Linked DNA regions of Callithrix jacchus. The protein of the gene in region 4 interacts with the protein of the main gene of each other region in a pairwise test. Links are inferred from orthologs where the notes say so. Each region holds a gene or a part of one and is shown on either strand. Other genes may lie near its edges.

Evidence for each region.
Region 1: the proteins of KLHL42 (region 4) and STXBP4 interact in a two-hybrid assay, tested with the Homo sapiens proteins (2 studies listed by BioGRID and IntAct). The two-hybrid records come from large-scale screens. The link is inferred for Callithrix jacchus from reciprocal best matches to the Homo sapiens genes KLHL42 and STXBP4.
Region 2: the proteins of KLHL42 (region 4) and STAM2 interact in binary tests that used the Homo sapiens proteins (3 or more experiments, as listed by UniProt). The two-hybrid records come from large-scale screens. The link is inferred for Callithrix jacchus from reciprocal best matches to the Homo sapiens genes KLHL42 and STAM2.
Region 3: the proteins of KLHL42 (region 4) and SERTAD1 interact in binary tests that used the Homo sapiens proteins (3 or more experiments, as listed by UniProt). The two-hybrid records come from large-scale screens. The link is inferred for Callithrix jacchus from reciprocal best matches to the Homo sapiens genes KLHL42 and SERTAD1.

What each region holds. Positions count from the first base shown.
Region 1 is NC_133506.1:111,237,469-111,245,300, forward strand, and holds the start of STXBP4 (syntaxin-binding protein 4), read right to left. Parts: upstream 5,129-7,832; 5' UTR 4,319-5,128; intron 1-4,318. Other genes in the region: COX11 (cytochrome c oxidase assembly protein COX11, mitochondrial), read left to right, coding at 5,226-5,591. UniProt on the Homo sapiens protein: Plays a role in the translocation of transport vesicles from the cytoplasm to the plasma membrane. Inhibits the translocation of SLC2A4 from intracellular vesicles to the plasma membrane by STX4A binding and preventing the interaction between STX4A and VAMP2.
Region 2 is NC_133507.1:78,220,304-78,227,545, reverse strand, and holds part of STAM2 (signal transducing adapter molecule 2), read right to left. Parts: intron 4,760-7,242; coding exon 4,675-4,759; intron 2,522-4,674; coding exon 2,446-2,521; intron 2,345-2,445; coding exon 2,246-2,344; intron 1,513-2,245; coding exon 1,366-1,512; intron 1-1,365.
Region 3 is NC_133523.1:35,981,433-35,989,158, reverse strand, and holds SERTAD1 (SERTA domain-containing protein 1), read left to right. Parts: upstream 1-3,499; 5' UTR 3,500-3,625; intron 3,626-6,216; coding exon 6,217-6,927; 3' UTR 6,928-7,261; downstream 7,262-7,726. UniProt on the Homo sapiens protein: Acts at E2F-responsive promoters as coregulator to integrate signals provided by PHD- and/or bromodomain-containing transcription factors. Stimulates E2F1/TFDP1 transcriptional activity.
Region 4 is NC_133510.1:43,438,740-43,446,693, forward strand, and holds the start of KLHL42 (kelch-like protein 42), read right to left. Parts: upstream 4,865-7,954; 5' UTR 4,543-4,864; coding exon 3,671-4,542; intron 1-3,670. UniProt on the Homo sapiens protein: Substrate-specific adapter of a BCR (BTB-CUL3-RBX1) E3 ubiquitin-protein ligase complex required for mitotic progression and cytokinesis. The BCR(KLHL42) E3 ubiquitin ligase complex mediates the ubiquitination and subsequent degradation of KATNA1.

The DNA.
Region 1 (7,832 bases), on a different chromosome or scaffold from region 4:
AGGAGCTCTCATTCCATTCATGGTGGAACCTATTATTTAAGCATTAGTTATCATAACAATTTATGCATTATTACAAGCATACTCAGACTCACAAGAATTGCAGCCCAGGCTTATGCATTCATTTAAAGGTTTAGAGAAAAGTATATACATCTCAGCATCTCCTAGTGTTGTACTGCTACTGTATCTAGGCATATTGAAATACTTCCTAATACAAAAAAGAAAAGCTTCTGTGTTTTTATTGTTGTTTTGCTGTCATCCACTGCAAAGCTGCTTTCTACAAGATGCAATAAAAACAGTAAGTTGTAAGGAGTCAGAAAAAAATCCAGGCTTAAACACCAGCTCTGCCACTACCCAACTGATTAGGCTTGGACAAGTTAACTCATCATTCTAAGTCTGCTTGCCTTCTTCATGGGCTGAGCTTGGGAAAAGGGTATGGGAAAAGGCCTATGTGTCTTGAACCAAACTTCCTAACTGGCCTTTCCTCCTTCCTCCTACCCCTTCTAAAATGTCTGGAGCTGAAATTCCTAACTACACTTTTCTCTTTCCTTCTTCCTCACCAGTTTTGCCTTGCTGAGTTTTTGGATGGTAGTAGTGGCAGCATGCTCAATACCTAGCTTTGGGCTGACATACCAGGGAGGGATGAACTCACATGTCTGGGGCCAAGCTTTGAGCCACAGTAATCTGCTTACATATGGGGGGATGGAGCAAGTAAGTATAAACATTGACAATAAAGGAAGCCAGATTTCCTACTGCTGAACACACATATGCACATTTGCTTATACACACACATTCTCCAGGTTCTCTCTGCTGAAAAGGGCTATTAATGAACACTTCTAGTGCCCAGAGCTTGTTCCTATATATGACTTACCACTAAAGAAACCAAAATTCCTGGCAGAAATGGCTGATTCCAAGGCAGGTCAGGAAAATACAAGATAAGCATGGCACATGTTGTCATGCCAAAAAATAAGGAGGTGATCAAAGAATGATAAATGCATGTCAAAAGGGGGCTTCTATTGGCCAAGTCTAGGAAAATCTGAAATCAGAATTTAAAAATAATAGCAATAGGCTGGGAGCCATGACTCACACCTGCAATCTCAGCACGTTGGGAGGCTGAAGCGGGTGGATCACAAGGTCAGGAGTTCAAGACCAGCGTGACCAACATGGTGAAACCCTGTCTCTATTAAAAATACAAAAATTAGCCAGGAGTGGTGGCGCCTGCCTGTAATCCCAGGTACGGAGGAGGCTGAGGCAGGAGAATTGCTTGAACCCAGGAGGTGAAAGTTCAGTAAGCCGAGATCTTGCCACTGCACTGCAGCCTGAGCAACAGAGCAAGACTTCATCTCAAAAATTAAATGAATAAATAAATAATAATAGTAAATATTAACCCTTGATTAAAATAAGAACTCATGAGTCTATACTGATATAAACAAATAAACAAGAAATATAGGATATAGCAGGGAAAACTCTACCTTACAGTAAAATGCCAACTAATAAACCTAGAAGGATTGATAACGTTAGAAAATTATCATTTGGTATCCATCACAGTAATAACAGATTCAAACAAGAATCAGTGGATGCTAAATCTGGTAGAATGTATGATGAGAAATAGAATTTATAGTCTCAAAGCTTCTCCTTACAAGTCACAAACTTCTCCCCACAAAACATACATTGCCTATTAATTTATGAGTGTGACATATGTACTAATTCACCTTATAACAGAGAAACCTGGCAGATACAATCTTAAAGAAATAGAAGTTAACATCAGGAAGCCATGGACTAAATCAAGATCATGTGACACCTAAGAGGATTCACTGATTGAAGTATAGCATCCCTTCTATGATGTTCCTGTCAAGGGGTCACAAACATGAGGAAGCATCAGTCAAAACTATATTGGAACACTTAATCATGTAACCAACCCGTAGTCCTCAAAAATGTCAAAGTCATGAACGATAAGGCTGGGTGCGATGCCTCATACCTGTAATCCCAGCACTTTGGGAGACCAAGATCGCTTAAGGCCAGGAATCTGAAACCAGCCTGAGCAACCCAGCAAGATCTTGTCTCTTCAATATATATATTACATTATATATATATATATGAAAAACAAGATTGGCAACTATTCCAGATTGAAAAAGACTGAAGAAGCTTGATAAATAAGAACGCTAATCCTGGATTAGATCCTAGATCTAAATTGGAAATGATTGGGATAAATAGGGTAATTTAAGTAGAGTCCATAAATAACATGGTGTAAAGAACTTAGTGTATATCCCCCAGAATCCATACGTTGATGCCCTAACCCCCAATGTAGCTGTATTTGGATTAGGAAGTAATTATAGTTGAATGAGGTCATCAGGGTGGGAACCTGATCTCATGGGATTGGTGTCATTACAAGATATATCAGAGCTAATTTACTTCAATCTATGTAAGGACACAGCAAGATGGCAGATGTCTGCAAACCAGGGAGACCCCTCACCAGGAAGTGACCAAGTGATACCTTGGTCTTGAACTTTCCAGCCTTTAGAACGGTGAGAAATAAATACTTCTGTTGTTTAAGCAACTGGTCTGCGATATTTTGCTATTGGTAGTCCAAGCTGACAATATAAGGTAATACTGGATAAATATTAACTTGTTGATTTTGATGCCTGCTTTGTGGTTTGGAAAGAGTGTCTTCATAATAATAAATAAGTAAGTATACAGTTCTGAAACATCAAGTCTAAAATCCATTCTCAAATGGTGTAGAAATGATAAAGATTGAAGAATCTTTATCATTCTCTAATGTTGAAGGGTATACAAGAAATTTGAGTACTATTATGTTGTAGAAATATGTAATAAACATATGTTTAATATCTTTGTTAATTGGACATTGAACTAAATGATGTTCTATGCATTTCATTCACAATATAAGTAAAAAAACCAAAATATTTTACTTGTCATACAAAAGTATTTCATAAACATGAACTGTCATTTCACATTATCATCTTAAGATCAGATATGATGCATATTTTCTTTTAATAAAGTAGAAAGCTACAAAGACCAACACCATTTCATTGCTATCAATATTACTGTACACAAGAGTTTCCTTTTGCAGTTATTATACAAAAAATAAAATACTAGAGTCTAAGACAAAGACTGTATTACTGATATATATTCATACTGCTACAAGGAAGGAGTGCCTGGAGAAAAACAATGGTGAGAGGAAATGTATTGTTGGTGTCAGGGATTTCAGTCTATGCTGTAAGAAAATTAAACTATGAGAAATCTCATCCTAGAAGAGCTGAGAATCTTGTACAAGAACCAAGATGCAGGCAGATGAAAAGGATTTTCAAATATTGTGGTAACACAATATGAATAAATCTGTAGAATCATGGAGACCTAAAATTTTTGAGACAGTATGCCAGTGTAAAGAAAGAAGTCAGAAGGTATTTAGATTTTATTGGTTCTGCAGTTTTCCGGCCCTGTGACCTCAAGTTAACCAATTACTCACTCAAGGTGACCATCATCACTCACGTGGACTATTGCAATGCTTCCTAACTGTTCTACTTCCATTCTTCCACTACCTTTAATCCATTCTCCACAAAGTAACCAATACCTTTTTAAAAATGTGAGTCAGATTATATCACTTATATACGTCAAACATTCCAGTAGCTTCCTTTTACTTTTAGAATAAAATCCAAACCCTTGGACTTGGCTTAAAAGGCTCTGTATTATCAGGTCTTTGTTACCTGTTCTGACCCCATTTCCTACCACTTTTCACTGTGTTAGGAACACACTGGCCTCCTTTCTGTTATTCAGTCATTTCTAGCTCTTTCCTTCCCTTGGGCCTTTGCTTGGCCTGGAATTGTCATCAAACAGTAGTTCCTTATCATCGTTCAGGTCTGAACTCAAATGTCACCTCTTCAGAAGGGCCTTACTTTACTACCCCTTCTCAACACTCTCAATGACATTATGTTATTTCATTGTCTTCACTGCACAGATTGTTATCTGAAATTCCCTTATTTAGGTAACTGTTACTTGATTATCTTCTGAGTCCTTCAGTAGAAAGGTCACTCCATCACATAAGTGATCTTCCAACTTGTTCTGTGCTATAGAGCCAGCAGGTCTATTAATGTCAGGCCTACAGCTGAGGGTGCAATAAATAAATAAAATGTTAAATGACTTAAAGTTTCTCAGGCCTCCAACTTCCTCATCCACATGGTGGGGATAATTATATCTGCTCTGGCCATTAGAAATGGCTAGATAGCAAGTAGAAATACAGCCTAACTAAATTCTTACTATGCCTCGGGCATCATGAAAGTTACGTTATATGAATATTCTCACTTACTGTTATGATTTCCATGTCACAAGTAAGGACACCAGGTCTTAGAGAGGCCAAGTAACTGGCCTACGAGTCCTGGGCCATAGTGAGGAGTCGGGTAAAAATCCAGAACCTTCTAACCTCAGAAGCTGAGCTCTTAACTGCTATAGTATAGTTTCTAGAAAGATGCTTCCTTCTATGACAGTAAACTCCGCTACGCTGTTTGCTCCCCTCCAGCTTGTCCTGTGGGACAACTCAAGAAAGCTATTACATGGCCCCACGTAGTTCTTTTCTCTCAGTCTTTCCTTTCCTCATATCTTGGTCACTCTCTCCCGAACAAACTTCAGCTTGACAGCCTTCCTCCCGCTCCAGCTGCGGGGATTTCCACTGGGCAAGTCGTAAAGGGGCATCAGAGCAGGGGAAGCCGACTGTCCACGGGCTGAGGAAATGCAGGTGTCGTGGGTGTCCAAGAGGTCTGCGGTTAACTCAGCAAGGCTTCCTGAGAGAGGCGATGATCCCTGAACCAAGTCGAGGGTAGTAAGCACAAGAGCCAGCGGCCAGGGGACCCCAGGAGAAAAGACCGCGGGAGAACGCCGCCAGGGCTGCTGGGTCGAGACAAAGGCTGGTGGAGTTTAAAAAGATCACAGGCACAACCCCAAGTGATGGCAAGCTTGCACGCGGACGAGCAAAACGCGTTTTCTTAAACGTTGGAGAAGCCCTGGCGGGAAGCGAGAGGAACAGTCACAAAGCAAAACGCAAACTTACCCGTAAGCTAGCAACCCGGCCTCCGTAGCCCGACTATAGGCGCTGCCACCTGAGGAGCCTGGTAGCCAAAGCAGCGGCAGGCTCAACCCAGATCTCGCGATACATATTAAGCCTCGCGAGATTTGACTGCTCGTCCGTGAGAGGCGGGTGGGTGTTCGTTCTGGGTGTTATGGGTGGGGTCTGGCATACGGCATGGAGGCGTCTCTTTTTCTGTGGCTGGCACTCGTTTCACCGTGGGTCTACAGCGCGGCCTGCAGAGAGGGCAGAGCCGTTTCTTAGGCCAGAGTGGAATGGGATAGGAGGTGCCGAGAGAGGACTGAGGCTGCTGGGGACATGGAAGCGCTGCAACCTTGGAGCCAGGGATCCGGCAGTGCAGCCGTCGCGGCGGCCTAAGAGCTCGAACCCTTTCAGGCGCGCACAGGAGGAGGAATGGCGGCGGCGGAACAAGACGGCCCTCACTTACGTGGCCGCGGTCGCCGTGGGCATGCTGGGGGTGTCCTACGCCGCCGTACCCCTTTATCGGCTCTACTGCCAGGTAGGGTCGGCGTTGCCCGCGTAGTGGCGCGGCGCGAGAGGTTGGGTTGCAGGACAAATCCCGGGACATCCCTCGCTCTGCGAGTTGTTGGTGGAAGAGGTTTCCCATATTATCTACCTAAAAGGAGAGAAGTTCAAAACAGCCACTTACCCAAAGCAACCAAAGATATTGGTGGCAAAACTGCAAGTAGCACGGAATTCTTCTCAGTGATTGTGCTTATTCCACGCTGCAGAGTGCAACTGCCTGATGTATGAGCTGCATCTCACCAAAAAAGTTCGCAGCCTTAACTTCCTGCGCACACACGCTTTTAAAATGTGTATTATTCATACATTCACTCTGCAGACCACATGTGATTTTCCAGAGGGTATAACTCTGGAAATTGGAGCATTAATTGGTCCTTTGAGGAGCTCTCGCCCTGCCCCTCTTAATATGTAACTGTAATGTACTTAACCTGGACTCTGTTAAGTACATTGCAGCGGTTCTGGGAGTTTGGCGCCCAAGACCGGCAGCATCAGCATCACCTGGGAACCTGTTAAAAGTGCAAATTCTAGGGCCCTACTCCAGGACTGAGTCAGAAACACGGGGGGCGGGACCAGCAATCTATATTTTAGTAAGTCCTATATAGTTGATTTTGAGGCCAAGTTTTGAGAACCACTGGCAAGGTCAAGTTTCATGTATTTCATAGATTTCTCCTTTGTTCTTAGTAATTTGCAGCTTTGGCTGGGCATTAGGATCACCTGTGGAGCTTAACGTTAAATACACGTTCCAGGGATCCCCTTCCCCAGAGATTCTGGTTAGGAAGCCTAGGATAGGGACAAGAATTTCGGTTTAAAAATCATTCCACAAGAGCTACACATTGCGTTCATTCAATGTGTTTAAAATAGTGGCTCCTAAAATTCGCTGTACAGCAGCATTGGGAATCACCTGGAGAGCTGCTAAAAATCCACACACATTATTCATTTTATCACAATACCAGAGTGGGAACCAGGCATCAGTAATTGTCAAGTAGGTTTTAGGTGATTCCAATGTGCAGGAAAGTTTTTTAACACCATGACTGGTATTCTTAGCTGGAGTTCATTCTTATTTTGTGTGTGTGTGTGCGTGTATTTAAGTTTGTAGAGGCGAGGTCTCCCTATGTTGCTTAGGCTGGGCTCAAGCAATCCTCCTGCCTTGGCTGGGACTGCAGGCCTGAGCCACCATGCCCAGGCTGGGAAGATCAATTTACCTTTCTTTCAGATGATGAAGCAGCAGAAGACAAAAGTACTTTTCTTTTCTGGCATAGTCTCTAATGCCAGCATTTATGTGGAAATTGCAATAGTTGATTTCTGAGGATGAGTATAGAATGTGAATTTACTTATCATTAGAGGCCAAGCCCAAGCATGAATTATAAAACTACCAATTAGTTAAGTCATGAGCATAACTGAACCAAATCAGCAAATCTGGATCCTTCTCAAACCACTGGCAGCTGGAGGAGTGATTTTTGTTCCTTAGGGAACATTTAGCGATGTCTGAAGACATTTTTGGTTGCCACAACATGGAGGGTGGGGGGTATAGGGTGCTACTGGCATCTAATAGGTAGAGGCTAGGAATGCTACTAAATAACCAACAAGGCACTGCCCCACCCCCAAATAAATTATTCAGCTCAAAATGTACATAGTGCCAAAATTGAGAAACCCTGTCCCAAACTGAAATAACTGATAATATTGTATGTGAAATGTGTCCATGTGCAATTATAGGTGAGGAAGGCAAATGTAATTTGTAGTCTGTTAAATTCTTAGAGCTAGTTAGTAGTACAACTAGATTAGAGACCAGGACATCTTTTTAGTTCTCTTTTCTAGTCTTCTTATCTATTTTACTTTCTCTAGGCATTGAACTTAGAAATTGGAAGAACTCATATTCAAAGAATATATCAGGGAATCTTTATTAAGGGAGGACACTTAAACATATTTTTATTCAAGTGACTTAAATTCTTCAGGAAAAGGAGTTACATCTTAAACATTATAGCACGCAGGCAGAAGGATATGCAAGGATAAAGCTTTGCCCTCTGATGCATCTTTTAGAGATACAATATAATTCAGTAATGTTGCATGGCAGTTGAATGAAGTTAGTTGCCTTGTGTAACAAACAGAAGATGCTAACACTGTATCTTGCTGGGAGTCATCCCCTAGCCTCAAATTTGCTTTTTTTTTTTTTTCCCCCTAGCATAGTAACAGGCAAATTATCTGGAAATCAGAATTCTGG
Region 2 (7,242 bases), on a different chromosome or scaffold from region 4:
AAGACAGGTATCCAGGACTCTGATCCATCAACCAGTTCTTTACGTAGATTTTTCAGAAAAATATGCAGAAAGGACAGAACAGGAAAATGTTTCCTTTTTACTACTTCTAAGACTCTTGTCTCAAAACTCTACCTTGAACCCTTAGATCTGGTCAGCTGTAAAGAATCTTTTTTCAGCTGGATGTGGTGGCTCATTCTTGTAATCACAGCACTTTGGGAGGCCGAGGCAGGTGGATCACCTGAGGTCAGGAGTTTGAGACCAGCCTGGTTAACCTGGTGATACCCTGTCTCTACTAAAAATACAAAAAATTAGCTGGGCATGGTGGCAGGCACCTGTAATCCCAGCTACTCTGGAGGCTGACACAAGAGAATTGCTTGAACCTAGGAGACAGAGGTTGCAGTGAGCCAAGGTTGTGTCACTGTACTCCAGCCTGGGCAATAAGAGCGAAACTCCAACTCAAAAAAAAAAAAAACCAAAAACTTTTTTCCTTTAATCTATGATCTAAAATAAAAGAAAATATAGTACTTCCCATAGTCTCCCTAGCCCACATTCTAATATTAATGGGAAGGCATGAAGTACTGAGAGTAAAACCCAGGAGACAGTATTTTTCTCCCACAGACCTAAAAAAACAGCCCACTCCATGAGTCAACATCCCTGCCTCTACATCCCAGTTCTACTAAAGCTATCCCCTCTCCCAGCAAATACATGTCTAGTCTTACAGTTCCAACCATCTTATATGTAAAGCATTCACTCTAGGCATAGTCACTCTTCAACAAACAACTCCGGAGCCTCTCAATTCCATGAGTTTGTTCATTTCACTTATCTCCTGACATAACTTCTTTACTTCTCTCTAATAAAATATTAATACATTCAAGTCTCAAAATTCTACCTCTTCATCCTCTTCACCATTCCAACCTGTGGTTACTGCTCTCTCTTTGGTATTAAGATAGACAGCATACAGTCTATTCCCCTCATCCTGTATTTGCTACTTAAAATCTAAATTAGGTATTTTTCACATGTATAAAGCTACCATTCAAATTTGCTATACTTTTTTTAATATAAGGGCTATCTCATACACCTATGCCTTTTGCATGACTCCAGACTTAGAGGAGTTATTATTTATGTTTGACTAACTTCTCAAGGTTCTGTTATGTGGAAGAAATAAACATAAAAATTAGAATGTCTATTAAATGTAATAGACTACATCTTAACATGGTACCTGAAATGTAAGTTATTATGCTAGAGAGTCATTTGGGAAGTAGAGGTGGAAAACGATAATCAAGACATACTTTGCCCAGTTTTTACATAAGATACATACCTTCAAAATATTAGAGGGTCAATCATGGGTCTGAATAAATCTCTCACCTGAGAACCTGCTGGAGGAAAAGTAATTCCTTCCTCTTTCATAGATTTAATAGTTGCAGATATCAGACTAAACTGAGGGTCCTTCTGAAATTCTTCTGACCACTCCACCATTAAAGACTTCAGTTTTTCACATACTTTAGGATGTGCCTTTTAAGGAAAAGGAAAGGAAAATAAACAAACATCTATAGTTAAAATACGTACTTAAATTATTTAACCAGGAGAATTACTCTCAAAATTCTCTTTAATCATATGAACATCAACAAAAGTCCAGCAATTTCTAGCCTAATTGAGTAATTGATAGATGCCTATTTACATGTTAAGATGTAGTTGTTTCACACAAAATTACTGTTTTTAACACCAATTCCTAAGTCTTACTATAATGACAACAAATCTTTTATATTCTGGGATTCTTTCCTCTTTGTTTTGGAGAATGGAATCAGAGTAACTTGGATGTAAATCCTGCCTTTCCCACTTACTAGCTGCGTGACCTTGGAGAGGTTACTTCTCTCTAAGACTCAGTTTTTGCATTTATAAAATAGGAATGATAAGGGAATTTAACTTCCAAGAATCTAATGCTCCAAGGGTAGTTAAGAGCTTTCAACAAGACAGTATATGTAAAATGCTTAAAGCAATGACTACTTACTAGCCCTCAAAAAAGATATGCTATTATCTACAGTATATATACTTTGGGGAGAAGTTTTTGGTGCTACAAATTAAAAAATCAAATTTCAGAATAGAAGTTTATTTCATTTTAATTTATTTAAAAATGACTTCATTTGTAATACTTATAATTACTTCAGTAATACCACATATAGCTATAATTACACACAATCTATATATTTTTTTAATGACTTAAATTTCTTCTCCTTTTAAAATTTACCTTATTTTTAATCACAGCACGTACTTCTGTTGCAAAATCACGGGAACATACTTCTAAATGAAATATCTTTCCACAGTTTGCCACACATGCCCCAAGAAGCTATTAAAATAAAAAATTAATATACAAATGTTGAAATATTAACTTACTACAATAAAAACACATTTGAAATTTGGGTCAATAATAACATGGCTTCTACTCACAGTTAGTGCCTGCAGAGCAACATGAGGAACCTTATGATTTACCCTTTTCATTATGGCTTTTAGGCAATCTTTCGCTCTTAAAAAAAAAAGACAGTTAAATATTGATAAATTTAATTCAAACATTAAAAATATAAGGTATTCTATTACCAAACAACTTTATCTTTAATGGCTCACAGCTGTAATTCCAACACTTTGGGAAGCCAAGGCAGGAGGATCGCTTGAGCCCAGGAATTTGAGACCAGCCTGGACAACAAAGTAAGATCTCATCTCTATAAAAAAATTTACAAATTAGCTGGGCATAGCAGCATGTGTCTAGACTCCTAGCTACTCAGGAGGCTGAGGCAAGAGGATTGCTTGAGACCAGGAGTCTGAGGCTGCAGTGAGCTGTGATCATGCCACTGCACTCCAGCCTGGATGACAGAGTGAGACCCTGTCTCAAAATAAAATAACGTTAAGTATAAAATAAAAATATATTAAATAAATTAAAGTCCTGGAAATTTCACTTTGTTAAAGGAATAAATCTATAAAACGATTTTACACAATATTTTGTTCATAGGCTAAAGCATGTTGCAAACGGTGCATATTCCAAAATCAAGAAACAAATCATTTCACAAAAGATCTGTCAACACAAGAGATGTATACCAGATCTTTCCATTTCTTCAAGACAGATTTAGCTTTCAGACAGCAAAATCTTATCTTGAAAAAAACCTAACAAGACATATAATTTTAAGAGGTTCAAGTACAGGCTGGGTGCGTGGCTCAAGCCTGTAATCCCAGCACTTTGGGAGGCCGAGGCGGGTGGATCACGAGATCAAGAGATGGAGACCATCCTGGTCAACATGGTGAAACCCCGTCTCTACTAAAAATACAAAAAATTAGCTGGGCATGGTGGCGTGTGCCTGTAATCCCAGCTACTCAGGAGGCTGAGGCAGGAGAATTGCCTGAACCCAGGAGGCAGAGATTGCGGTGAGCCGAGATGGCGCCACTGCACTCCAGCCTGGGTAACAAGAGCAAAACTCCGTCTCAAAAAAAAAAAAAAAAAAAAAAAAAGAGGTTCAAGTATAAACACGTGAATATGCTATGAAAAGCTTTAATGTTAAAACAAATGCTTTCATCACTCTTATATTTCTAATACATAGTTCAGCTAATTGCAACATCTCCCCAAAAGCACTTTTTTTCATATTCACTTTTTTCATTAGGCTACCTATTATATTTATATGTACATTATTCAAAGACTTTTTTGTTATATTATCTATTGTGTTATTTATCTACTTCATTATTTAAAAGTTCCCATATACATCTAAGTCCCAGAGGAATTCCTTAAATAACTCACCTATACATTGTTACGTCTCCCCACTATGTAAAGTGTTTAATTATGTGTTACCACAGGAGCTTTTGAGTTGAACTCTTTTTCATTTGTTCCTTCCAGATGAAGTTAATCCCATAAATCCAGCATTCGGGCTTTTTTAACTTTTATGTCCCGAAAGTAAAACAACTGACCCTTGACCTACATGAAGATTAGGGGGACCAACCCTCCATGCAGCTGAAAATAAACTTTTGATTCCTCAAAAATTGAACTACTAATAGCCTACTCTTTTTCTGTTTTTTTGAGACAGTCTCACTCTGCAGCCCAGGCTGAGTTCAGTGGCGCCATCTTGGCTCACTGCGACCTCCACCTCCCAGGTTCAAGTGATTCTCCTGTCTAGGCCTCCAGAGTAGCTGCAATTACAGACGTCTACCGCCACACCCAGTTAATTTTTGTATTTTCAGTAGAGACGGCATTTTACCATGTTTGCCAGGCTGGTTTCAAAGTCCCGACCTCAAATGATCTGCTTGCCTCGGCCTCCCAAAGTGCTAGGATTACAGGTGTGGGCCACCATGCCCAGCCAACTAATAGCCTACTCTTGACCAGAAGCCTCACCAATAGCATTAACAGTAGATGGACATATATTTTGCATATATATAATATACTGTATTCTTACAATAAGGTAAGCTAGAGGAAAAAAGTTATTAAGAAAATTACTGAGTTGAAGAGGGGTTGGTCTTGCTGTCTTTGGGGTGGCAGAGGTGGAAGAAAACCTGTGTATAAGTGGACCCATAAAGTTTAAATCTGTGTTGTTCAAGGATCAACTGTGGTAAAGTCTCATTTTTCTTTCAAAGTTTCATCACAAAAAGAGACACTGGTTATCGAGTTCCTAAACATTCACTGAGCATGACTGGACAGCTTACCCATTAGGTGTACTTCCAACTTTGTCACATATATCCATAATAAGACTCCAATCTTCTGTAGTGTTGTACTCATTTGTGGCCTTTTCTATAAAATATATTAGCATACACAATAATTAGGACACATCTCATATAACACTAAAATACCAGCAAAGGCCCAACAGTTAAGAAGTCCTACCTTTTCTCTTGTCGAAGAAACTACAGATGACATTCAGGAGATAAAAGCAGTTCTACTAACTTCAATTTTAAATAGTGTAATTAAATAAATTAAATATCCTGACGTAAAGCAATAAAATGCCTCCTAAATAAACTACTAAGTATCAATAATCCCATCAAATTCTAATTTGGAAGAAAGCTTTAAAAATGTATCATCAGGGCTGGGTATGGTGGCTCATGCCTGTAATCCCAGGCATGGGAGGCCAAGGCAGGAGTATCATTTAAGGCCAGGAGTCCAAGACCAGCCTGGACAACATAGTAAGACCCTGTCTCTGCAATTTAAAAAAAAAAATTTTTTTTAATTAGCTGGGCATGGTGGCAAATGCCTGTAATCCTAGCTACTTGGGAAGCTGAAAGGGAGGACTGCTTGAGCCCATGAGTTCAAGGCTGCAGTGAGCTATTATCATGCCTCCATGATACTACACTCCAGCTTGGGTGACAGAGTAAGATCCCTATCTCTTAAAAAAATTAGAAAGCATATTATACAAGTAAATATGCATTAAACTATCCAATAAAGCATTGGTTTTGTAATTTTTTTTTTTTTTATAGAGACAGTCTTGCTATGTTGCCCAGGCTGGTCTTGAACTCCTGGGCTCAAGGAATCTTCCTCCTTGGCCTCCCAAATGTTGGGATTATAGGCCACTGCACCCAGCCTGAAGCATTGTTTTTGACAGCAAAAAGGAAAACTGATTAATATATTAAATTCATACAAGGGAATATGAAATGAGGGATACAAAATTAAATGAACAAAAACATATAAATCTCAAAATATGATTTGCTTGGGTTTATAATGCTGAGTCAAAAAAGCTAGCAGCAGAAGAATTTATAATATTTACATGAGTTTTTTAAGACAGTTTTATTGCTATAATTCATGTATCAATACAATTTACACATTTAAGTGTACAATTCAATGTTCTGACTATAGTCAAAGAGTTATACAACTAACACCAGTATCTAATTTGAGAACATTTAATCACTTCCAAAAGAAATCTGTACCTATTGGCAGTCACTGTTCATTCTCCCCACATATTCCCAGCCCTAGGTAACCACTAGTCTACTTTCTGTCTCTAAAGATTTACCTATTCTGGATTCTTCATATAAATAGGACCATACAATGTATGTCCTTTTCTGACTGGCTTCTGTTGTTTGGCATAATGTTTGCAAGGGTCATCCACGTTGTAGCATGTATCAGTACTTCATTTCTTCTTATGGTTAAATAACATTTCATTGTATAGACATACCACATTTAACCATTCACCAGTTCATTAACATCTGGATTGGTTGGTTTACTGAGACAGGGTCTCACTCTGTTGCCCAGGCTGGTGTGATCACGACTCACTGCAGACTTCATCTCCTGGGACTCATGTAATCTCCCACCTCAGCTTCCCGAGTAGCTGGGACTACCGGTGTCCAACATCACACCCACCTGCCTCGGCATCCCAAAGTGCTGAGATTAAAAGTTTGAGCCATGATGCCCACTCAACATTTGGATTTTTAGAAATTATTTGGCTAATATAAATAATGCACTGCTGCAATGAACATTCACATACAAATCTCTGTGTGGACATTATGTTTTCATTTCTCTTTGGCATATATCTAGGAGTAGAAATGCTGTGTCATATGGTAATTCTATGTTTAATTTCTTTTAGGAATGGTCAGTTTTCCAAAGCAACTATTCTATGGTACATTCCCACCAGCAATATGTAAATGTTTCACCTGAAGTTTTGTAACATCCAAAAAACACACTATATTCTTTAGGGATATATATATATATCCCTACCCATATATATATATATATGGGTAGTAAAAATATTAACATGTATGAGAATGATAAACATCAAATTTGGGGGTATAAAAAAAGAGTATACAGGAGCTTCATTATATTTATAAAGGTTTATTAAGTTGTACAGTATGTATCCAGAAAATATTTTATTTTCACTATATTTTTGTGGTCTAAAATATATGATTCAAAATAAAAATTCACAAGTAATTAGCCTGCATTGTGAGAAATAAAATAAAATTAAAAGTGAACTATTAAAAAGCATGATGGGAATATAATGATTTAGTTATGGAGCATTTTTACTTTATTAACTTTGACAAAATTCCAGTATCAAGGAATACAATTTTTTTCTGCTAGTACAGAGAAGTGGAGATATAAAAATTACCACTTTAGAAACACTGTATCATTTTATGTCTTTTCCTCTTTTATTACATATATCCTATAATTTCAAATATAGAATAACCTATGTAGCAAAGCATATATATATATATATATATATATATATATATGGCAGGTAATATCACACTGATAATCAGGAAAAATGGTAGGAATCCAGAGTAATTTCTTCTTTTTTT
Region 3 (7,726 bases), on a different chromosome or scaffold from region 4:
ATCTTCTCTCTCTGCCTCCTACCCTGATCCATGAGAGGGGAGACTCTGTGAGGTTTATCCAGTGCTATATCCTCACCATGTACAATAACAGCCACCACATAGTAGGTACTTAATCAATGAATCAATGATTCCTCTAAGTTTTTCTGTTTTATTTTGTTTTTTCTTTTCTTTTCTTTTCTTTTTTTTACAGAGTCTTACTCTGTCTCCCAGGATGGAGTGCAGCAGCCTGATCCTGGCTCACTGCAACCCTTGCCTCCCAGGTTCAAGTGATCCTCCCACCTTAGCCTCCCAAGTAGCTGGAATAACAGGCATGAGCTAATGCTCTGGGCCTTTTCCTTTTCCTTCATGACCTGGAGTGAGCCACTGGGAGACTCCAGGTCCAGTCCTCACTTTTGCCAACCATAAAAAATGGATTCTGGAGGGCAGAAGATGTGAATCTGCCTAGCAGGGGCCTAGTTCTCATGAGCATCTTACCATCATTTTATTATAAAAAGTTCAAGCACATAGAAAAGATGGGGGCAGGCGGAAGTATTCTGAGCATCTGAAATACTCTCATCTAGATTTAATTGATAATTATTGGCCAGGCAACAACTGTAACCCCAGTGCTTTGGGAGGCCCAGGCAGGAGGATCCCTTGAGTCTAGGAGTTCCAGATCAACCTGGGCAACATAGTGAGATCTTATCACAACAAAAAAAATTTGAGAATTAGCCAGGTGTGGCTTGGGCGTGGTGGTTCATGCCTGTAATCCCAGCACTTTGGGAGGCTGAGGCAGGTGGATCACGAGGTCAGGAGTTCGAGACCAGCCTGGCCAAATGGGGAAACCCTGTTTCTACTAAAAATACAAAAAATTAGCCAGGTCTGGTGGCAGGCGCCTGTAATCCGAGCTGCTCAGGAAGCTGAGGCAGAGAATTGCTTGAACTAGGAGGCAAAGGTTGCAGTGAGCTGAGATGGCGCCACTGCACTCCAGCATAGGCAACAGAGCGAGTCTCTGTCTCAAACAAAAAAAGAAGAAGAATTAGTCAGGCATGGTAACATGTGCCTGTGGTCCCAGCTCCTCCGGAGGCTGAGGTAGGAGGATTCCTTGAGCCCAGGAGATCAAGGCCACTTGAGCCATGTTCATGCCCCTGCACTCTAGTCTGGGTGACAGAACAAGACCTTGTCTTCAAAAAAAAAAAAAAAAAAAGTAATGAGTTGATAACATTGTGCTAAGTTATCTTTATCTACATATGTATATATATTGTTTCTTTTGCAAAACCTTTGGAGAGAAAATTGCAAGCATCCTGATATTCTATCCTTAACAGTTCAGCAGGCATGTCTTTTTTTTTTTTTTTTTTGAGACAGAGTCTCGCACTGTCTCCCAGCTGGAGTGCAATGGCACGATCTTGGCTCACTGCAACGTCTGCCTCCCGGGTTCAAGCCATTCTTCTTCTTTAGCCTCCTGAGTAGCTGGGACTACAGGAGCCACCACGACGCCCGGCTAATTTTTTGTATTTTTAGTAGAGGCAGGGTTTCACTATGTTGGCCAGGCTGGTCTCCAACTCCTGACCTTGTGATCCATCCGCTGTGACCTCTCAAAGTGCTGGGATTACAGGCTGAGCCACCATGTGCGGCCAGCATCTCTTAAAAATAAGGACATTGGGCCAGGCGTGGTGGCTTACACCTGTAATCCTAGCTTTCTGGGAGGCCAAGGAGGGCAGATCACCAGAGCTCAGGAGTTTGAGACCAGACTGACAGTGCGAGACTCCGTCTCAAAAAAAAAGGAATAAGGACATTAACCTACAAGCCCCAAAAATACTATTTCACTTTTTTTTTTTTTTTTTTTTTGAGCCGGAGTTTCGCTCTTGTTACCCAGGCTGGAGTGCAATGGCGCGATCTCGGCTCACCGCAACCTCTGCCCCCTGGGTTCAGGCAATTCTCCTGCCTCAGCCTTCTGAGTAGCTGGGATTACAGGCATGTGCCACCGTGCCCAGCTAATTTTTTGTAATTTTTAGTAGAGACAGGGTTTCACCATGTTGACCAGGATAGTCTCGATCTCTTGACCTCGTGATCCACCCGCCTCGGCCTCCCAAAGTGCTGGGATTACAGGCTTGAGCCACCGCGCCCGGCCCTATTTCACTTCTAATAGAATCAAGAATTCCACAATAACAACGAATATCCAGTCTATTTCAAATCTCTCCAGGACCCAAGAACATCCTTTATAGTTGCTTTCTTTTCTCCAAAATCAGGATCCAGTGAAGGATCACGTGCTAATTTGGTTGTAATGAAGAAATTACATACTATATTTTATTCTGGGATATTCCCCCACCCGAATCCTTTTTTTGTGTGTGTGAGACAGAGTCTCACTCTGTCATCCAGACTAGAGTGCAGTGGCACAATCTTGGCTAACTGCTACCTCTGCCTCCTGGGTTCAAGTGGTTCTCCTGCCTTATACTCCTGAGTAGCTGGGATTACAGGCACATGCCACCACGACCAGCTGATTTATTTTGTAGTTTTAGTAGAGACGGGGTTTCGCCATGTTGCCCAGGCGGGTTTCCAACTCTTGACCTCAGGTGATCCATCTGCCTTGGCCTCCCAAAGTGCTGGAATTATAGGCGTGAGCCACCACACTCAGCCCCAAACCATTTTTTATCTTTTCTTGACATTGAATTTCTGGCAAAATAGCCCAGTCGTGCTGTAGAGTGTCCCACATTCTGGATTTGTCTGACTGTGTTTAATTTGTTCCTCTCTATTGCCAGTAAACTGGAGGCTGAATCTAAAGGCCTGGGGAGATTCTGCTTATGCAGTGAACTGGGAGACTCCACAGGGTATGTCCTAATTCTTATTAATGTACTTCCTAATCCTAATGCATTATGGTAGGTGGCACCCAGTGTCCCGCCATTGGTAATGCAGAATTTCATTACATGATTAAGATTATGAGGGCTACATCATAAAAGGATTTCATCCTTTGCAGTTAGCAAATAACCTTTGAGATGATGCTTTAGAGCCTGTCAGGACCCTATCTCTAGACTGTGCTCTTATAGATACCATCCTATTTAAACTTTGCTGTGAAGAGGTAGGCAAGACTATCCTTATTTAACTTCGTGTAGCTTGGAGAGGTCGATCAGTTTTCCAAGGTCACAAATCTACTGAGTGGTGAATCCGGAGTCGGAATTTGAACCCGGGCATATCTGTAGTGTAGACCCCTGTCGGGGCGTGATGTGTAAGAACCTTAATTGCCATATTTGGCAGGTGCATGGGTAGTTGTGAGGGGCTCGTACTTTGAGAGGCAAAAGGCCCACCCGCCACCATTCCCCAGGGTAAAAAGCCACCTCTTTTCACCCTTCACTAGAGCAGCTGCCCGGGCATGCGCCCTGAAGCCAACCTCCCCTCCTTCAGAATCCGCCCCCTACAGGCTCCGCCCATCACCGTCCAGAGCCAATCCCTGGGGCGAAGGGAGGGGCAGCCACGAGAGTGGGCGTCGCTAAGGTTAGTTAGGAGTCTGGAGTCGTGCGCTCGAGTCAGAACTGCGTCTTGCGATCCAGGTGCCGGTTGCTGGAGGAGAGTGAGCAAGCGATGCTGCTGCCGCCGTTTCCTGATTGGCTGTGGATGGCTACCTCTTTGTTCTGATTGGCCGCTAGTGAGCAGGGTATGTAAATGAAGGGGCCTGGGGAGAGAAGGGGTGCCAGCGGCCGGGTCCTTTACGAAGTTCGATCCCTGGGTCCGACAGGTGCCCGTCTGGGCTGACCGGGATCGAGACACACGGGCCTCTATGTGCCGTCTGCCCCGGCCGGGCCGGGTGAATCACGCCGCAGCCCGAGAAGGGGGCGGAGGCGCCGGCTCCCTGGCTCCGGCTGCGTGACTCACCCGCCCCCGCCGCCGCCGCCGCTTCGGGAGGAGCCGCCTCCACTGCCGGAAGCGAGCGGAGGCCGGGCGCACAGAACAGCCCGCCGGGGGTCCCGGCTCTCACGGCCCCGGGAGGCCGGCAGGAATCACAGCCGGGAAGCGGGGCAGTAGGAGTCCTGGGGTCAGAGGGGCCAGAATCCCCGGGGGAAAGCCGGCCTGGGCACCGCTAGGGGGCGCCGGGACCCGGGGGCGGAGTCGGGGGTCGGGGGCGGAATTCCTGCGGTTCCTCACTCCTGGGACCGCGGGGAAGGGGACGGAGACCCAGTTTTGACTAGTGTGATGGTCCACTCTTAAGATCTTGCTAGGCAGGGTCCCGGGAACTGGACCCTGGACCCTTACTGGCCCAAAAAGGTAGGTAGCGCCAGGGGTCCAAAACTCCAACCCCACCCCCAGCCACTCCAAGAAGAGAGTGGGTCCTCAAACTTATCTCAGTGACTGACCCCAGTGCCCAGCACGATTTCCCGGCAAGCCCCGTCGATTCTGCCTCCCAAATAAATCGTGACTCGACCGACTTCCTTCCATACACTACCAGCTCCTCCTCCAGGCCATCACCATCGTCCGTCCCAACCGAGTACAGCTTACCAGTGGTTCTCAGATTCCCCCTCTTCCTCCCCTCCCCCCAGTCTTCCTCAAAGCAGCCATGGGGGGACGGAAACCCAGTCAGCTCACAACACCACTCCCCTCCCTGCTCAAATTCCTTTAATGACCGCCCACCACGCTCATGATAAAATACAGACTCCCTACTTCTGCATATGTGGCTTTCTGTGACCTGGCTGGTGCCCGTTTCCTCTGCTGCTCCCCAATCTGGTCTCCTACCATGTCACTCTCTGTATGCCAGGCATGCTAGTCTCTTTCAGTTCAAGCCCATCCAGCCTCTGGGTCTTTGGTTGCCTTTTTTTGTTGATCCCTCCTCCCAGAATCCTTTTCCCAGGGGGTCTCCCTTGGCTGACTTCTCTGGCCTGAGGGCTCCATTCAAATGTCACCTCCTCTCGGGAGCCTCCTCTGATCATCTGAAAGGTCTCCAGGACCTTTTAGTGTCTTCCTGTAATTCTCTGTACATTTCCTGTGTTTGCTTATTTATTTACTGTTTGAAATATATAGTAGACAATAAATATTAAACTATGTGAAACTAGTTTAGTATTTATAATTTATACATAATTACTTATAATAAACTATGTGAAACAGCTGCTTTTGTAGGGGAAAGGTGAATATTGGCCATTCCACATGGTTCACTGAAGACATTATAATGTTATCATTAAGAGTATTTATTGGTGGTCTGGGCGAGGTGGCTCACACCTGTAATCCCAGCACTTTGGGAGGCCTAGACAGGCAGATCGTGAGCGCGGTCAGGAGTTTGAGACCAGCCTGGTCAACATAGTAAAACCCTGTCTCTACTAAAAATACAAAAATTAGTGGGCGTGGTGGCGGGTGCCTGTAATCCCAGCTACTGGGGAGGCTGAGGCAAGAGAATTGTTTGAACTTGGGAGGCAGAGATTGCAGCGAGCCGAGATCTCGCCATTGTACTCCAGCCTGGACAACAAGAGAGAAAAATTGTCTCTCAAAAAAAAAAAAAAAAAAGGTGTGGCAGCTCAGTTATAATACCAGCACTTTGGGAGGCTGAGGCGGGAGGATGGCTTGAGGCAAGGAGTTTGACACCCTGAGCAACATAGTGAGACCCTGTCTCTACAAAAAATAAAAGGAGAAAGAAAAAAGAGTACTTATTGACTGACGCAGGAGGATTGCTTCAGGCTAGGAGTTTGAGACCAGCCTGGGCAACAAAGTGAGACACCATCTCTATTTTTTTAAATAAAGAAGTCCATAAATATACTTTATAAAATATAAAATACAAAATGTAAGAAGTCTATAGGCTGGGTGCGGTGGCTCACGCCTGTAATACGAGCACTTTGGAGGTCGAGGTAGGCAGATCACTTGAGGTCAGGAGTTTGAGACCAGCCTGGGCAACATGGTGAAACCCCATCTCTACCAAAAATACAAAAATTAGCCGGGCGTGGTGGCTTATAGCTACTCGGGAGGCTGAGGAACGAGAATCACTTAAACCCGTGAGGCAGAGGTTGCAGTGAGCTGAGATCATGCCATTGCACTCCAGCCTGGGCAACAGAGCGAGACTCCATCTCTTAAAAAAAAAAAAAGTCTATAAATATACATCTACAATTAAATAAAAATTGCCTATATCTTTAAAGTTCCCTAACAAAAGCTAGGCACAGAGACGCTAAGTGACTTGCCAAAGATCCTACCTGCAGCAGCTGTCAGATCCAGGCTTTGAACTTGACATTTGTTTTCCATAACTTGACTTTAACTCCCTGCTCTCTGCAGATGCTGAGCAAGGGTCTGAAGCGGAAGCGGGAGGAGGAGGAAGAGAAGGAATCTCTGGCAGTCGACGCCTTGTGGCTGGATCCTGGCCACGCAGCGGTGGCACAGGCACCTCCGGCTGCAGCCTCTAGCTCCCTCTTTGACCTCTCGGTGCTCAAACTCCACCACAGCCTGCAGCAGGGTGAGCCAGACCTGCGGCACCTGGTACTGGTGGTGAACACGCTACGGCGCATCCAGGCTTCCATGGCACCCACGGCTGCCCTGCCACCTGTGCCAAGCCCACCAGCAGCCCCCAGCATGGCCGACAACCTCCTGGCAAGCTCAGACGCTGCCCTCTCAGCCTCCATGGCCAGCCTCCTGGAGGACCTCAGTCACATTGAGGGCCTGAGTCAGGTCCCCCAACCCCTGGCAGATGAGGGGCCACCAGGCCGTAGCATCGGGGGAGCGGCGCCCAGCCTGGGTGCCTTGGACCTGCTGGGCCCAGCCACTGGCTGTCTACTGGACGATGGGCTTGAGGGCCTGTTTGAGGACATTGACACCTCTATGTATGACAATGAACTTTGGGCACCAGCCTCCGAGGGCCTCAAGACTGGCCCTGAGGATGGGCCGGGCAAGGAGGAAGCTCCGGAGCTGGACGAAGCGGAACTGGATTACCTCATGGACGTGCTGGTGGGCACACAGGCACTGGAGCGGCCGCCGGGGCCGGGGCGCTGAGCCCTTGTGTTGGGATGGTTGTCTGGTATCTGAACTGAGCTTGGTGGCTGGACCAACTGTCCTCAAAAAGACACAGCTGGCTTCCCGAGTCTAGAGAACAGGGCTTGGCCACTTTGCAGAGACAGAATCCAGTCCTGGACAATTTCACGTCCGTCCTCCTGTCTCAGGGCTAGCGGGGAAGCCTGGGATTAGTCCCTAGTGATGGAATGACAGGATCTGGTGGCGGACTGAATTCCCTGGCCCTGCAGTCATAGCTTGGGCTGTTCCTTCTCTGATCTGGGAAGAGACCCCAATCAGATTTTTCAAATTAAAAGCAGTCCTGGGAAATCTCAAATCTGTGTGCTTCTTTGTCTCTGGGCAAATGTGAAGGCGAGATATTTTATTGGGCTTAGACAGACTGTGCCAGGCAGAGTTCTAAGCACTCGACATGGGTTAACTCATTTAATCATATAACAGCCCTACAAGATGGGGTAGCTTTATTATCATCCCCATTTTACAGGCAAGAAAACTGAGGCTCCAAGGTCATCACTTGAGGAGGTGGGTTTTAAAGTGTGAACTGAACTTAGTTTGTTTTAGGTAGGGTCTCACTCTGTTGCCCAGGCTGGAGTCCAGTGGTCCGGTCATGGCTCACTACAGTCTCAAACTCCTAGGCTTAAGGGATCATCCTGCCAGGTCACTTTTTTTTTTTCTAAAATTTTATTTCTTTACCTTGCCAGCAGGACGTCAAGGCCACTTTTTAAAAAAGAAAGCACACTTTGGGAGGCCAAGGCCATTGTATTACGAGGTCAGGAGTTTGAGA
Region 4 (7,954 bases):
CAATTTCCAATAAAGCATCAATAATCAGAAGATATAATGGAGGGCCTGGCATGGTGGCATGTAATCTTAGCACTTTGGGAGGCCATGATGGGAGGATCACTTGAGGCAAGGAATTCAAGACCAGCCTGGGTAACACAGTGAGCCCCCATTTCTACAAAAAAAAAGTGTAATTTTAAAAATTAACCAAGCACGGTGCTGCATGCCTATAGTCCCAGCTACTGAGGAGGCTGAAGCAGGAAGATTGCTTGAGCCCAGGAGTTGAAGGTTACAGTGAGCTATGATCACACCATTGTATTCCAGCCTGGGTGACAGAGCAAGACTCCATCTCTTAAAAAAAGAGAAAAACAAAGGGATATTTGAATGTCTGGCAAAATTTCCTCACTTCCACGTGGAAGTAACCAGCTGTGGCTGAAAGGTGGAGCCCTCTTTTGGTAAGGCAATAGCTCTTGGCTTCATCATAACTCCCATGCACCCTTCCACGCAACAATTTCACCTACCCAGTTACTTGAACCATGCAGAAAAATAATGGCATGGGAAAACATACACAACATTATGTAACAGGCAAGAGATTAATGTCTCTATTCATATGCAGAATTGCTAAAATGAATGTGAAGAAAAGCCAATTTTTAGAAGACTGGCACAGACCATTTACAAAAGAAATACAAATGGCCAACCAACATATAAAAAGAATAATCTCTCTTCTAATTGGGAAAAATCACACTAGTGTTTTTGTCCATTAGGTTTGGGGAAAAAAAGATGATAATATTCTACCTTGGCAAGAGTATATGGTACTGGCAAACACAAATACTGTTGATGGAAGAGGGACAGAACAATTTTCTTGATGGGCAATTTGGCAGGAGCTACCAAAATCTATTGATTTTTAACTGTTTATAGAGATGGGGTCTCACTGTGTTGCTCAGGCTAGAGTGCAATGGCTATTCACGTGCCTGATCACAGTGCACTGCAGCCTTCAGCTCCTGGGCTCAAGTGATCCTCCTGCCTAAGCCTCCCAAGTAGCTGGGACTACAGGCATGAACCACTGCACCCAGCTTCAACAAAACTTGAGACATGCATACACTTTGCCCTACTTATCCAGGGATTCCACAAATTGGACATATGAAACCAACCCACATATGCCTACTAAGATACACAATGCATCTACCAGGATGTTCAATATGGCAATGGTTATTGAAACAGCTAATGCAAATGGAAGTGACCTAAATGTTCATAAATAAGGGAAAGGCTGACCACATTATGGTACATCCCTAGGCTGGAATGCCATACAGTCATTAAAGAGTGAGGTAGATCTACATTTGTTGACACAGAAAACAATTCTCAGATATGGTTAAGTGGAAATATCAAGTGCCATAATAGTTAGTACAACCTAGTCAATTTTAGAATTTAAAAAACGTGTAAGTTAATATGCATACCCCCATGCACATTAATATACATAAATACTTTTCCCCTATTGCTAACCACTATCAACATACTTATACAGCTGGCCCTTTCACAACACAGGTTTGAACTGAGAGGGTCCACCCATATTCAGATTGTCTTCTGCCTCTGCCACCCAAGACGGCAAAACCAACCCCTCTTCTACCTCCTTCTCCTCCTCAGCCTATGTAACATGAAGAGGATGAGGATGATCCACTTCTACTTAATTTTCTCTTCCTTAGAGTTTTAAATAACATTTTATTTTCTATAACATACTCTATTGTTAGAATGAAGTATATAATACATATACAAAACATGTTAATTAAGTTATTGGTAAGGCGTCTGGTCAACAGGCTATTTAGTAGTTGAGTTTTGGGAGAGTTAAAAGTTATATAGGGATTTTGTACTATGCAGGGCTGGTGTCCCTAGCCCCCACATTGTTTAAGGGTTAACTGTATTTATATTAAGTATATATATAATTTACAAATATAAATGTTTATACATTTATAGTATCTAAAGGTAACAAAAGTCTGTTGATAACAGTCTTTTTTTTTTTTTTCTTTCTGTACCCTGAGAGCAGACATTTACTCTACACTTTTTTGGTGTAATTTGCAGTTTTTCTGAGAAGCATGCATTCATGCATTACTTGAATGCTTTTTTTTTAAGGGGATGAAAAGGGCCTTCCCAGAAAAAAAGACAAAGACTACCAAGGATGTATGAAGGGAAGAAGAAATGTGAGGTACTGTGACACTAAGGATGGCCTGGTGAGCACCAAATGATATGCAGCTGGAGGCAAGTGCAAAAGGAGACAGAGAACTCAGGACTGTCCACCCTTACTCAGACCACCGCCTATAGCCACACAATGTTCCTTTGTTGTTTAAATTACAGCGCATAGAATTTGTTTTAAAATAACCCTCCTGATACCAAATTTTAAACATGGCATCATCTCAACGGCGTAAATAATGCATTAAAAATGGGCTGGCAGGAAATACGTCAACCTGCAGTTACTGCCTCTAGGAGGAGCGAGTAGGAATATTCATCTTTTTGCTTCTTCATTGTTTTTCATTTTCTAGTTTTCTGCAACTATATATTATCAGGCAAAAAAAAAAAGCATACTTTTCAAAATGAATTTCATATTATAGGAGAAAGCAAGCCAGTTATTTCCCCAAATGATCCCTGGCGTAGGAGGACCCTCAAGTCCAATAGATATATAATGGCTTCACTGTTACTGTTAAGACTTTCTTTGCCTAGCTATGAGTTCCCCAACTCCTTGCTCCACACTTCAGGACCAGGATCCTGTGAGGACTGAGGTGGAAACAGGTGGATGGTAAGAAAGGGTATTTTCATCCTTTCTTGAGATACATGGATTCTTTTCCCCGCTTCCGAATGACTCTGAGGCCTCCTGGGTGCTACCATCTTTATTTCCTACCATCTCTTCCTGTATATGCTCTTTGCTCTTGTTTTCATATTCTTTCCCTGGTTCCTTTCCCTTCTCCCCTCTCATCCCACTCCCCAAGCTCCTCCTCTTCCTTTCTTCAAGCCACCCAAGTTGGTGGCAGGAAGGATTCGCAGGATGGGAGAGGGAGAAGATTGGATTAATGAAAATGTTCCAATTCTGAAGTTGAACACTTCCAGCCTCGAGCTTTGGGTCAGTGATGATGGCTGTCCAGGGAAGGAAGCAAAAGAGAGGATAAAATAAGAAAAGCAACCCCTACTGCAAATATAAACACATTTCCCGTAATTATCTCTTGATCATGGCTGGATGTCACAGTGTGGAAGGCTCTGTTGTCATAGTCACTGACAACAGAAAAACAAAACAAAACCCGAAGTCAGTGTTACAGGTTACTGTCCAATGTATCATTATCATCAGGCTCACACCCTAAAAACTAAGACAAAACTTCTTTTCAATTAAGGAGTAACTTTCTTTTAAAGTAATTCTTGTAGGAAACCACAACATCTTTTTTCACAAGGACAGAGCCACAGAAAGCAGTTTCACTTAAAGGCACAATACCTGCCAAAAAACCACTCAGCTACTTGACCTCACTGGGGACTTCCTCTTTGCAATTTCTTAGTTCACCGGGAATTTTGCCAGGACTAAGGCCAACAACATTCCTGAAGATGTCATTTCCACCTCAGCACACCCTCCCCTATTTACTGGCTCAGTAAACACGGGGGCAATGAACTAATGAACAAGTGAATGAATGAGAAGGCATCAGCACTCTGCCGGGGTGCTTACCTCTTCTGGTTCATGGAGGCCACCTGGAGCCATTCGTTGGTGCTGGGGTTGTAGGAGTGCGCAGCGGAGATCTCCTGGCTGGTGATCCTGTACCCGCCCACTATGAAGAGGTAGTTGTCCAGGATGGCGGACCCATAGCCCCTGACATTGACCAGGTCGGGAGGAAGGTTGTTGGCCAGCGGGAACCAACGCTCAGTCATCTCCTCGTACCTGAGCATGGACGGGGGCTCCCCCTGGTAGGGGTGAGGGGCCAGGGGTCCCCCCAGGAAGTCACCAAGGGCCACGAGGACAGGAGTCCCAGTCATCCGGGCCTCCCTCAGCCTCTGCTTCAGGCTGACATCCCCTGGGGCTTGGGGAGGAGATCCCAGAAGGTGGAACTGGGGCTTGCACAGCACCTCGTGGAAGTGGACGACCATGAAGCGCAGGCAGGCCTCCTGCAGGTCGGGCAGCCCGTACACCTGCGCCAGGCGGTACATCTCCAGGCAGTTGTTAAGCCGCACCTGGGACAGCAGCAGCTGCAGCAGGGACGTGACCTGCAGGAAGGAGGCCGCCTCCACCAGCTCGGACAGCAGGCTCACCTCGTCCATCTCCTCGTCCTCGTCCACCCCGCCGCCCTTCTCCCCTCGCGGGTCCAGAAGCCAGCCTTCGCGGGCCCCACCGGCGTTGATGAAGTCCAGGACCAGACGCAGGCCTGGCGCGCTGAGGCCGCGCAGCTGCTGCACCTCCGGGCCGCCTGCTTCCTGGCTCAGGGCCTCGCGCATGCCGGAGCGGTAGAGGGCGCGGAAGTAGTCGCTCTGCTCGATAAGTTTCCTCTTGCTCACCGGATAGCAGCGGTCCTCCAGGCGGATCTGCACCATCTCCTCGGCCGACATGGCTGGGAGCCCCGAGGCGGCGGCGCTCACCGCCAGATCTGCGCGCTGGCCTCCCCGCCCCCACGCGCGCGCCGGTTCCGGGTGGGGCGCCGAGGGATGGCGGCCCGGGAGGAGCAGCGAGGTGAGGGCAACCCGCGCTCGCCCGGCCTCTCCGGCGGCCCCTCCTCCCGGGGCCCACTCCCGCGAGGCGGCGGCCCTGCCCTTCTTTCTCTCAGCGCCAAAAAAGGGCGGGCGCAGCGCGCCGGGCGTCTTCACGCTGGCTCTCCCGAGCGGCGCCAGGCGGGAAGGGAATCCTAGCCCTCAGCCCGCAGCCTCCTCCCCCGCCGCCCTTCTCACTTCCGCCCGCGGGACCCCAGCCGCCAGCCTGACCCGTTGGCTGCATCCGGCCTCTGGGAAGCCGGAGAGGTTAAGGGACGCGCGCCGGGGGAAGCGGGAGGCGGACGGCGCGCGTCCTCGCAACTTCTCCGCACGCCTGGGGCGCGCCGGCTCCGCCGCCTGCCCAGGTCTGCAGCGATGCTCCGGGGTATCCCCGGAAGAAGAAATCAAGTTTGTTTTCTCTCCCACGCTGCGTTACAGGGGCTAAGGAAAAGGCAATGAGCGTAGGAGGAAAGGGAAGGAGAGGGAGTCTGGTTCAGGGAGACAAAAGGCATCAAATGCGAGGTCACCCTTTCGCCCCATCGAGTGTCAGTGGGCTGAGGCACGCAGGCGATCTGTGGACATGCTTGTGGCACGTATAGCTGATTCTCTGGCAGGGTCGTCGCGTAGGAGCCATCTTACAGGAGTTCCACGCAGATGGCAGCAGGTTCTCAGAAGAATCGGGTTGGGAGGCAGGGGAGCTTGCATTTGCTGGTGGGGCCCGTTATTCGGTCCCTAAGTTATTTAAAGAAAGATGAAAGCGCAGCCCAAATAAAGTTACATCAGGCTTCTGGTTTTAAACCATGTTTTCCACGAGCCATTGCTTTTCTACTTAAGTCTGGCTGAACTATCTATTACGGAATGTTATCCTGGCGCAGGTCTGACAAAATTGGCTCATGGTTGTCTGCAGAGGTAGCTTTTCTTGTCACCCCCTTTCTCCACCTACCCTGCCCCCATCATCTGAGAACTATTAAGAGAGAGCACACGTGCAGTTTGGCCAAGGAACCCTAGCACTCTGGGAGGCCGAAGCGGGCGGATCATGAGGTCAGCAATTAAGAGACCAGCCTGGCCAACGTGGTGAAACCCTGTCTCTACTAAAAATACAAAAATTAGCCGGACGTGGTGGCAGGTGCCTGTGATCCCAGCTACTCGGGAGGCTGAGGCAGGAGAATTGCTTAAATCCGGGAGGCAGAGGTTGCAGTGAGCCGAGATCGTGCCACTGTACTCCACCATGGGCGACAGAGCAAGACTTCGTCTCGGAAAAGACAAACCACTTGTTTCCTATGTTCGCTCACTGAACATTGTAATTAGAAGGCCCACCCCAAATAATAATAGGAAGGGCTTTTTGTGTTGCTTATGAATTGATCTCAGGAAGAGGGTGGGGGAGAAATATATTGTTAGGGTTATCTTTGGGTAGGAAAAGAGAGAGCAGGATTGGGAGGATGCAGAGGGTGTTCACTCTTAACTTACAAAACAAAAACAGAAAACCTTGAAAACTTCCCCCAAACCAACATTTGAGAACCACCTATGATAAACAGTTCTTAACTTGGAGAGAATATGTATTTGGATTTTTTATTATTATTACAAGCTTCAGCTTTCTTCCTGAATGACAGGTTGTTAAATAATATCTTATTTAAAAAGTACATTTCCCCTATTTAAAGAAGATACATCCTACCATGTTATGTTAGGAAGAGGAAACGGTTAAAAAAAAAAACGGAAGAGGCCGGGCGCCATGGCTCAAGCCTGTAATCCCAGCACTTTGGGAGGCCGAGGAGGGTGGATCACGAAGTCAACAGATCGAGACCATCCTGGTCAACATGGTGAAACCCCGTCTCTACTAAAAATACAAAAAAATTAGCTGGACATGGTGGCGCGCGCCTGTAGTCCCAGCTACTCAGGAGGCTGAGGCAGGAGAATTGCCTGAACCCAGGAGGCGGTGGTTCCGGTGAGCTGGGATCGTGCCATTGCACTCCAGCCTGGGTAACAGCGAAACTCCGTCTCAAAAAAAAAAAACAGAGAAGTAAGTTGTAGGTGATATCCTTGCAACACAGTTTGGTTACATTCATGCTTCTCACTGTCATTTAACTGCTTCACAGAGAGGTGTTATCTTTATTATTATTATTACTTTGGAAAGGAAGTTTGTCTTTTTATTTTGGGGGGGGAAATGCATTTTTTTTTTTTCCATAGAGACAGGGCCTTGCTACCTTGCCCAGGCTAACCTCAAACTCCTGGCCCCAAGGGATCCTGCCACCCCAAGTGATCCTTCTGCCTTGGCCTCCCAAAGCACTACTGTGCCTGGCCTATTTTCCTTATAATAATGCTAGAAATAAGGAACTAAAAAATAAAAGACATATAAAATTTTCTATATTTTCTGGCCTCCCTGGAATAAATGAAGGAAATAAAAATGGATCTATGACTTATTCAGTTGTTTTCTTGGATTCTATTAAAAAATATGCATCTCTTCCCCTGGTTTCACCTGGCCTTTAAGTCGTTACTGATAAAACTCCATTTTCACACCAACCCTTCACACTTCCATTCTCTATGAGGGTGCAGTGAGGCATGATAAGCTTTGGAGCAGGAGATGGAGTGGGTGATCATGGATTTAGCAACTTCGTCGGGATGGTAGAGTATAACATCCAGTTTTAAGCGTCAGGCTGGGGAACTTTTGCTGGGAGGCGCCCCCTGTATCAGAGGCTTGGACCTACGATTTATCTGTGCCTCAACCAGCAACAATGCCAGATTCAGTGGGTCAGCCACAAAGAACAGGCTCTCAGTCTCTCCTCTGTCTCTTGAATCTTTCACCAATGGATGCTTTTGTTTCCCAACCGTCATAGATATGCCTCAGACTGGTATTTTCTTGCCTTTTTGAAACAGACCAAAAAAATATGCTCAAAGAATCATGTGCATTAGAAAGGCAATTCAAGCACAGTAACATTATCAGGGTAAGATAAGGTTGGACAGGGAATCTGGGGTGTTAGTCTCACAATACTAGGCATTGATCTTGTGAGTTTTTGACTCCCAAAATGATAACATTATTTAGGATTGGGAGCATCTTAAATGATCAAATCATTTTAATTAATTACACAGCAAGTTTTCTGTTAAGCTAGAAATGCAAAGTCAGAGCAATATTAACTCCTTTATTTAAAAAAGACCTAAAATAAGTTCTGGCTTCCTGAAAATACTGCTTTATATAACTGGAGGTATAATTTTATAGATCTGTTATTGACTGATCATTGAATAACAAAAACTGGCTTTGTAGTATTATTATCAAGGACTA